Ovis aries: one gene and its partner. The protein of the gene in region 1 interacts with the protein of each later gene in a pairwise test. Links are inferred from orthologs where the notes say so. Each region holds a gene or a part of one and is shown on either strand. Other genes may lie near its edges.

Region 1 (4,277 bases):
TGAATAGTGCAGGCCTAGACTGAGAGCAACTTGAAAGCAAGCTATCCTCCTCTCTCCAGGGCCTCTAGAATAGACAGGAAGGGGATATTTTTGGAAGATATTCAGTACATCAGAAAGACAAAAAGGACTCTCTAAACCTCTGGATGCTGATACTTAAATGTTCTGCAGTCACTTTCTTTAAACTCTCCAGTTCTGGAAAAAGTGGAATGGGGATTATACTCATTTTGATATATCAAAGAAATGAGTATGTATGTATCCTGACTCCCAGAAAGCCTGAATCATCCAGAATGTTGACTCATGGGCCTAAGGTGACTGAAATACAATGTGAATCAAATTTGCCTTCCAAGGCATCCTTCTCTTTCCACTTTCCTCTCTCTCCTCCCTCTTTTGGGTGACTCATCCTTCTACCAGTTAAGTCCAGCAGCGTGCAGATCCCAAAGCCCTCTTTGAAGAAGTACAGACTCATCAAATGGTCTGTTCCAGTCAGTCCCTATATCGTCTAGCCTAGTTGTTTTGCCTACCTCATCCAGGGTCTGCAGTTAAGACTGGGAGTGACTTTAAACCTGTAAAAAATATTATTTTTTCTTTTAAGGTGGTGATGGTGATCCCCTTAAGGTGATAAGGTGGCTTGGGAATTTAAGTTTGAAAGAAAACAAATTTTCATTTCGAAATTTACAATTTAACGTTTGCTTCAATCCTTAGGGCCTACTCCACAGTACCGTTATTCATAACCTTCCTGCGCTCTGGGTTTTTTCCTTTCCTGGGAGGAAAGTTTCCACTCCCAGTCTCCAAGATAACGCCCTTCCGGTGGCGTGCCAGGAACGTCTCCGACCCCTCAGTGCTGGGAGGGAGTCGTTTCGTTTTCTCAGTGCTGTAAACACACAGACTCCAGCTTCGCCAGGGCCAAGACCAAGACCCCAGCCGGACCCGCAACTACCCTAGGCAGTCGGTGGGGTTCCCAGCTCCAAACCCCGCCCATCGAACCCACCCGAGCCGGTAAGAGAGAGGAAGTGCAGTGAGACCCACCCACTTTCGTCTTTTTCCTTTTCTGTTGGGCCGACTGGTTGCCCGTCAACTCTATTTCTTCGCCGATTGGCTCACTCCCTCCCGCGTTAGTGCCTCCCTCTCCCTGGCTGGGAGGGTGTCACGCCAAACTGGGCGGAGCGTCGGCTGGCCTCTCTCCTTCTCTCATCTGGGCGGCGGCGGCGGCAACTGGGGACGGGGCGGGTGGCGCATCACGGGCGCGGAGGCTGGAGGAGCAGTCTCATTGTTCCGGGAGCTGTCGCCACTGCAGGTCCCTCGGCTCGTTGGGCCCTGCCCCTCTCAGTCCTCCCCGCCCCCCACAACCGCCCGCGGCTCTGAGAAGAAGCTTCTCCGGCGGAGGCAGCAGCTGCAGCATCACCTCTGACCTGCCAGCCATGGAAGACATGGACCAGTCGCCTCTGGTCTCCTCGTCCTCGGACAGCCCGCCTCGGCCTCAGCCCGCATTCAAGTACCAGTTCGTAAAGGAGCCCGAGGACGAAGAGGAAGAGGAGGAGGAGGAAGACGAGGACGAGGACGAGGACCTGGAGGAGCTGGAGGTGCTAGAGAGGAAGCCCGCCGCCGCGCTGTCGGCGGCCCCGGTGGCCGCAGCCGCCGCCACCCCGGCTAGCGCGCCCCTGCTGGACTTCGGCAATGATTTCGTGCCCCCGGCGCCCAGGGGGCCACTGCCGGCCGCGCCTCTCGCCGCTCCGGAGCGGCAGCCGTCTTGGGACCCGAGCCCCGTGTCGTCGTCGGTGCCCGCGCCGTCCCCACCCTCCATTACAGCAGACTCGCACTCCAAGCTCTCTGAGGACGAGGGGCCTCCGGCCCGGCCTCCCCCTCCTCCACCGGCCGACGTGAGCCCTCAGGCCGAGCCCTCGTGGACCCCGGCTGCCCCAGCCCCCGCCGCGCCCCCCTCCACGCCGGCCGCGCCCAAACGCAGGGGCTCCTCGGGCTCAGTGGGTGAGTGCCGCGCCCTCCGCCTCGCGCCGCCCCTCGCGCCCCTCCCTCTTTTGTGCGCAGCCCCTAAAGCCTGGACCCTGCCCTTCTGTCCATCCGGAGGGGGCTTTGTCTGCAGATCTTTGGGCGAAGGCGCCCCCGCTGGTGGGAGCCGCGGGGAGCAGGGTGGGGCGGCAGAGGAAGCTCCGGCTTACTCTTTATTGTCCGTCTGGGTATCGGGGAGCACGTGCGCCCCGACCGCTCCCGGGTTGTTCTGTCTGCTCTCCATTCCACCGGGTCGGGGAAGTTAGGAACCCACCCCTTGCAGGAACTGGGTCTGTAATGAGGGAACTAGGGGTGTGGATTCATCGGGCTGCCTTGGTTCCGGGATGAGGATGGAAGGCCTTGGCGCCCTAATCTTTTGTCTGCCCAACTAGGTTGCTCCTGAGGAAAAGACGCAGTTTCTTGCTGGTCTTTGCCTGCATTCAGCCCTGGCCCCTCTCCTCACCCCTTCCTTGGCTTGGGTGGCCCCATGCTCTTCATCTCCCCCGCCCCGGCCCCGCGCTCGTGGGGAGCCGGTCCAGTGGAAAACGTCCACATTGACCTGACTGCAGTGAAGGGACAGCGCCTCCAGTGGTGTGACGCGTGGAGAATTGCGGAGCGGAGTTTCGGCGAGGTCCTGCCACCGCCCAGTTTACCCGGGTTGTGATGTGGCTATTTACCACCAGCTTAACGGCGCCGGGGAAATGGGACCTGGGCACCGTGTTCCAAGGGGGCGCAGTTCTGCCGGGAGCTCTGCCGCAGAAGGAGGGGAACAGTTGTTAGGATGCACAGGTTTAGTCTCAATGCATCGTAATTGAATCGTAGAGATAAAAGGAAAAGGCAAAATGGTTGACATTCCCAAAGAAGGGGAAACCTGTGGATTCCCTGGCGGGAAGAGGACAGTTGAACTTCTGGCAGATTTACCATGGGACTTCATGAAATGTTTTCAGACAGACGTTTTCATCTGTTGGTTAGAAATACTGTTTCGTAGAAGTAATATATTTTAGGGCTGCAGAGACAGATTTGCATTGTCCGTAAATAGTTTTCAAATCTTTTCATTTACCAGCACCTGATTGTTATTACTGTTATTAGGAAAAATTGTTTTATTATCCTTTTCATTTTGGGAGATTGTTTATTTTGGAAGAGAAAAAAGTTTGTTAGAGGTTGAGAATTCATCCTATTAGACACGTTAATTAACTTATTAACAAGTAGCTTGTTAGTTTGGGGACAGAAAGCGTCGCACTAGAAGTAGGACCTTTATGTGTAAATAGGCAAGGATCAAGAATCAGGTAGTGTAACAGTCTGGTGAGAAATTGTCATAGCCTTGTAGGATTTTAGAGCCGGTTGTTTTTCTAGAAAAAGATACTCAGTGGGAGATCATGGAAGAATTTTCTTTTCTTCGGCTCACTCCTGCACCACAAGGAAGAAAAATAAGTCAATAGTGATATCGACATACCCCACAGCATTACTCAAAACATTAATTACTACACTACAGATAATTAGAATGTGAGAAGTAACTCAAGTTTTCCTTTTTATGAGTGAAAACACATTTCGAGAAACTAAAGTAAGGTGGAAAAATATCAAGTAATAAGACATTTACAAATGATAAATTTAATGATTAAGAAAAGCAAACTGATTTTTCATATTGTATTCCTGTGTGGCAACAAAAGAGTTCTGTGCTTTGAACCTTGGAGAGTCAGGAGGTGACAGCATTCTTTCTGTATTTTGACTTTAGGAATACTAACTTTGGAAGACAAAGGAGAGAATGTTGAGTCACTTAGCGATTCTATCTTTACATGGCTCCCTAATTCTGTATTGATGTTGCCTATCTAGAAATTTTAGTTCCTTTAGGACATAAAGGAACACTGTGATTATGGTCAGATAGTTAAACCATGTCACTGAGTCTGGCTTTCTTAACAGTTCTTTCCTGCAGCTGGTTATTGATTTACCTACAGAGGCACTATTCTAGGCTAGGAAAATAGAGCAGTCAGCAAGACAGATGTGTTCCCCATGAGAGGAGTACCGATAATAAACACCTGATTAAGGAACTGAGACTAGTGTTAAGTGTTATGAGCAGCATAGGAAGGATGATGTGGAAAATTATTGAGATGTGTGGGAACCTTTTTACATAGGGTGGCACTGAGAAAGGCCTTTCTGAGGAGGTGAGATTTAAGCTGCAGATATAAAAAATTTCCAAGAAGCTCCTGGGAGGCAAAAGCCCTGCGGCAGTAATGTATGTTTGAGAAGCTCGTGAGAAGACTAGTAAGAAAGCTAAG
Region 2 (2,934 bases), on another chromosome or scaffold:
ATTCATCTCTCTCTCTCTTCATCACATACACCAGGCTCTTGAATTCAAGTCCTAGGGTGTCCCAAGATCTCTTCTGTCTTCTGCTTCATGAACAACACAGGAAGGGCTGTAGTCCAACTGGGCAGTGAAATGTCACCTTACCTTCCTATAAGGCCCCTGGGCTCCACATGGGGTCCCTCTGGTGGGGCTCTAGAGAGGCCCACCCTTCCCTCTCCAGGCCAGTGGTGTGCAGCGGTGGTTCCTAGTCCTGCACCTTCCCTTTAAAGGCCTTTTCATCCAAGGTTCACCAGATCGCTAGCCTTCTATTGTGGAATCTACAGAGGGAATCTTTGACCATCTCCTTGCCAGTCCTAGAGGATATATGAGCCCTTCTCTCTGGAATGTGTGAATACCTTCCACCCACTTCTTCCCATTTGAGATCTCAGCTCATACTGAAAGACTTGAAAAAGCCTGGAGGTTCTCTGGATCCATTATTCTAAGATTCCAAAGCTTGGAGCATTTCTACCCTTGACCTGGCATGCTTGGCCTAGCATCCTTCAATTAAACTTTGTGGAGGAAATTCTTGGATTTGTTGTAGTCGGGAGGGAAGTAGAACCAGTGACCTGTAGCTTGCAAATTAATGTTAATGATGACTCAGTGGTAAAATGTTAATAATGACTCACCTCAGTGCAGGAGACAGGGGACACCCGGATTGATCCCTGGGTCGGGAAGATCCCCTGGAGTAGGAAATGGCAACCCACTTCAGTATTCTTGCCTGGAAAATCCCATGGACAGAGGAGCCTGGCAAGCTACAGTCCATGGGGTCTCAAAAGAGACACAGCTGAAAATGCACACACACAAAGAAAGAATTAGGTTATGTTGTACACCTGAAACTTACATAAGGTCGTAAATCAACTATATCTCACTATAAACAAAGAATTAGGGAAGTAAGACTTTTTTTACAAAAGCACACAAACTCCACCAACCAAATAGATCACGGCTAGTGTGCTATGCACAAGTGGCTTTTGGATTGCTCAGGCACTGAGAAACCCAGGACAGGTTGGTGGGCCAGAGAGGTCTGGGGTTGGGCAGCAGGCCCAGGGAAAAAGAGGGCTGATCTGACCTGAGTCCTCCATATCTGATTACAGAAGGTGCAGGACCCAGTCCTACCCACATAGGGGAGCTGGCAGCATTGGAGGCAGAATCTGGAAGGCCGGACCAGGAACCCTGGGAGCCAGGCGGACAAGCAGAGGAGGACGACGAGGGAGGAGAGCCCACCCCTGCCTATCTGAGCCAAGCCACAGAACTCATCACCCAGGCCCTACGGGACGAGAAGGCAGGCGCCTACCCTGCTGCTTTGCAAGGCTACCGGGACGGTGTGCACATCCTGCTCCAGGGAGTTTCTGGTGAGCAAAACTTGAGGCTGGAGGGTCAGGCCTGGGATCCTGGATGGTACAGTGAAGGGAAAGAAAAGTGAAAAACAAGGATCAGAATTGCTCTTCACTGACCAATTGTGTGACCTTGGGCTGCTGCTTTATCTCTCGTGGCCTCAGTTTTCTTATTTGTAAAATGGGGAGCATATATCTGACTCCCAAGGAACAGGGAAAGACACATGGTGATGCTCTGTGGACAGTAAGGAGCTAGACCAGGGGTTCTGAATCCAGGTACCCGCTGAGCCATTCTGTCTTCCCAGGTGACCCATCACCTGCCCGCCGAGAGGGTGTGAAGAAGAAGGCAGCTGAGTACCTGAAGCGGGCAGAGGAAATCCTACACCTGCATCTGTCCTAACTCCCACCCCGAGATGGGAGTGGACCTGTTCCCAGGACTCTGGCTCCAGCACTGCCGGCCACCCTCTTCTCTCCCTGGTGCCTGATCTCCTGGTCCTGTAACTGGCCATTTCTATATGTAACTGGACCAGGAATGAGAAAAATAATGATTTCTCAGCTCCCTGACCACACCTGCCACTTTGGAATCAGGGACTCACATATCTGATCCTGCCTGTCTCTGTCTTGTTATGGGAGGCTGCAGCTCTGGTCCGTAAGCCATCTGTTTATCCATCTAGAACCGGGGTATGCAAACTACCGCCCACAGTCAGATATGCCCCACTGCCTTTTTTTGTAAGGCGCATGAACTAGAAGAGTTTTTACTTTTTAATAGGTGAAAAAAATCCAAAATAATAATATTCTGTGACAGGTGAAAATTATAATGAAACTTAAGTATCTAAAAAATAAAAGTTTATTGGAACACAACCAGGCTTTTTCATTTAGTGTTGTCGACCGTTGCTTTCTCACTACACCGGCAAGCCTGAGTGATTGGTTGTGACCTGTAAATCCAAGAATATCTACTATTTTGGCTCTTTGTAGAAAAAGTTTGCTGACCCCTGATCTAGAAAACAGGAAGAAGAGCCCTCAAGGAAACAGAAAAGAACGGCAGTAAGGCTGACTGAGTCAGGTTATCAGGTGAAGAGGAACCAAAGCGGGTGTCCCCACTTGGGTCGGGTGGTTCAGAGCTAAACAGTGACGGGATTAGAGGACAGGAGCCCGGGGAGGCGTGGCTCCACGCCTGCCCTGCCTCTCCTGCAAAGCGATTGGTTACGGAAGGGAACTATAACGCGGTGCATCATGGGAGTGGTCCGACTATGGCGGTGCACTGTGGTCGGGCTTTAGTGGGACCCGAACGTGAGGAACAGTGTTGGCGACGCTGAACTACAACGCAGAGGCTCTCGGGAGGCCTGCTCGGAGATCTGTGGGAAGCGACAGGACTCGGTGAGGACTGCGGCGGCCAGACGGGCGGGGGGAAGGTTCCGACCCGGGCGGGGAGGCGGGCCGGGAGGGGTTGGCCCCGCCTTCGCCAGCCTTGGCGTGCTCTCCTGCAGAATGGGGCGAGGGGCCGCCGCTGTCCGCTGGATGCTGAGCGCCCGTCCGTTCCCCCCAGCCCACCTATGCCCGGCTACGA

What was found.
Region 2: the proteins of RTN4 (region 1) and SNX15 interact in binary tests that used the Homo sapiens proteins (3 or more experiments, as listed by UniProt). The two-hybrid records come from large-scale screens. The link is inferred for Ovis aries from reciprocal best matches to the Homo sapiens genes RTN4 and SNX15.

The regions. Positions count from the first base shown.
Region 1 is NC_056056.1:68,964,016-68,968,292, forward strand, and holds the start of RTN4 (reticulon-4), read left to right. Parts: upstream 1-1,208; 5' UTR 1,209-1,418; coding exon 1,419-1,983; intron 1,984-4,277. UniProt on the Homo sapiens protein: Required to induce the formation and stabilization of endoplasmic reticulum (ER) tubules. They regulate membrane morphogenesis in the ER by promoting tubular ER production.
Region 2 is NC_056074.1:39,704,358-39,707,291, forward strand, and holds the end of SNX15 (sorting nexin-15), read left to right. Parts: exon of another isoform or gene 1-80; intron 81-662; exon of another isoform or gene 663-881; intron 882-1,127; coding exon 1,128-1,385; intron 1,386-1,672; coding exon 1,673-1,767; 3' UTR 1,768-2,228; downstream 2,229-2,934. Other genes in the region: SAC3D1 (SAC3 domain-containing protein 1), read left to right, coding at 2,921-2,934. UniProt on the Homo sapiens protein: May be involved in several stages of intracellular trafficking. Overexpression of SNX15 disrupts the normal trafficking of proteins from the plasma membrane to recycling endosomes or the TGN.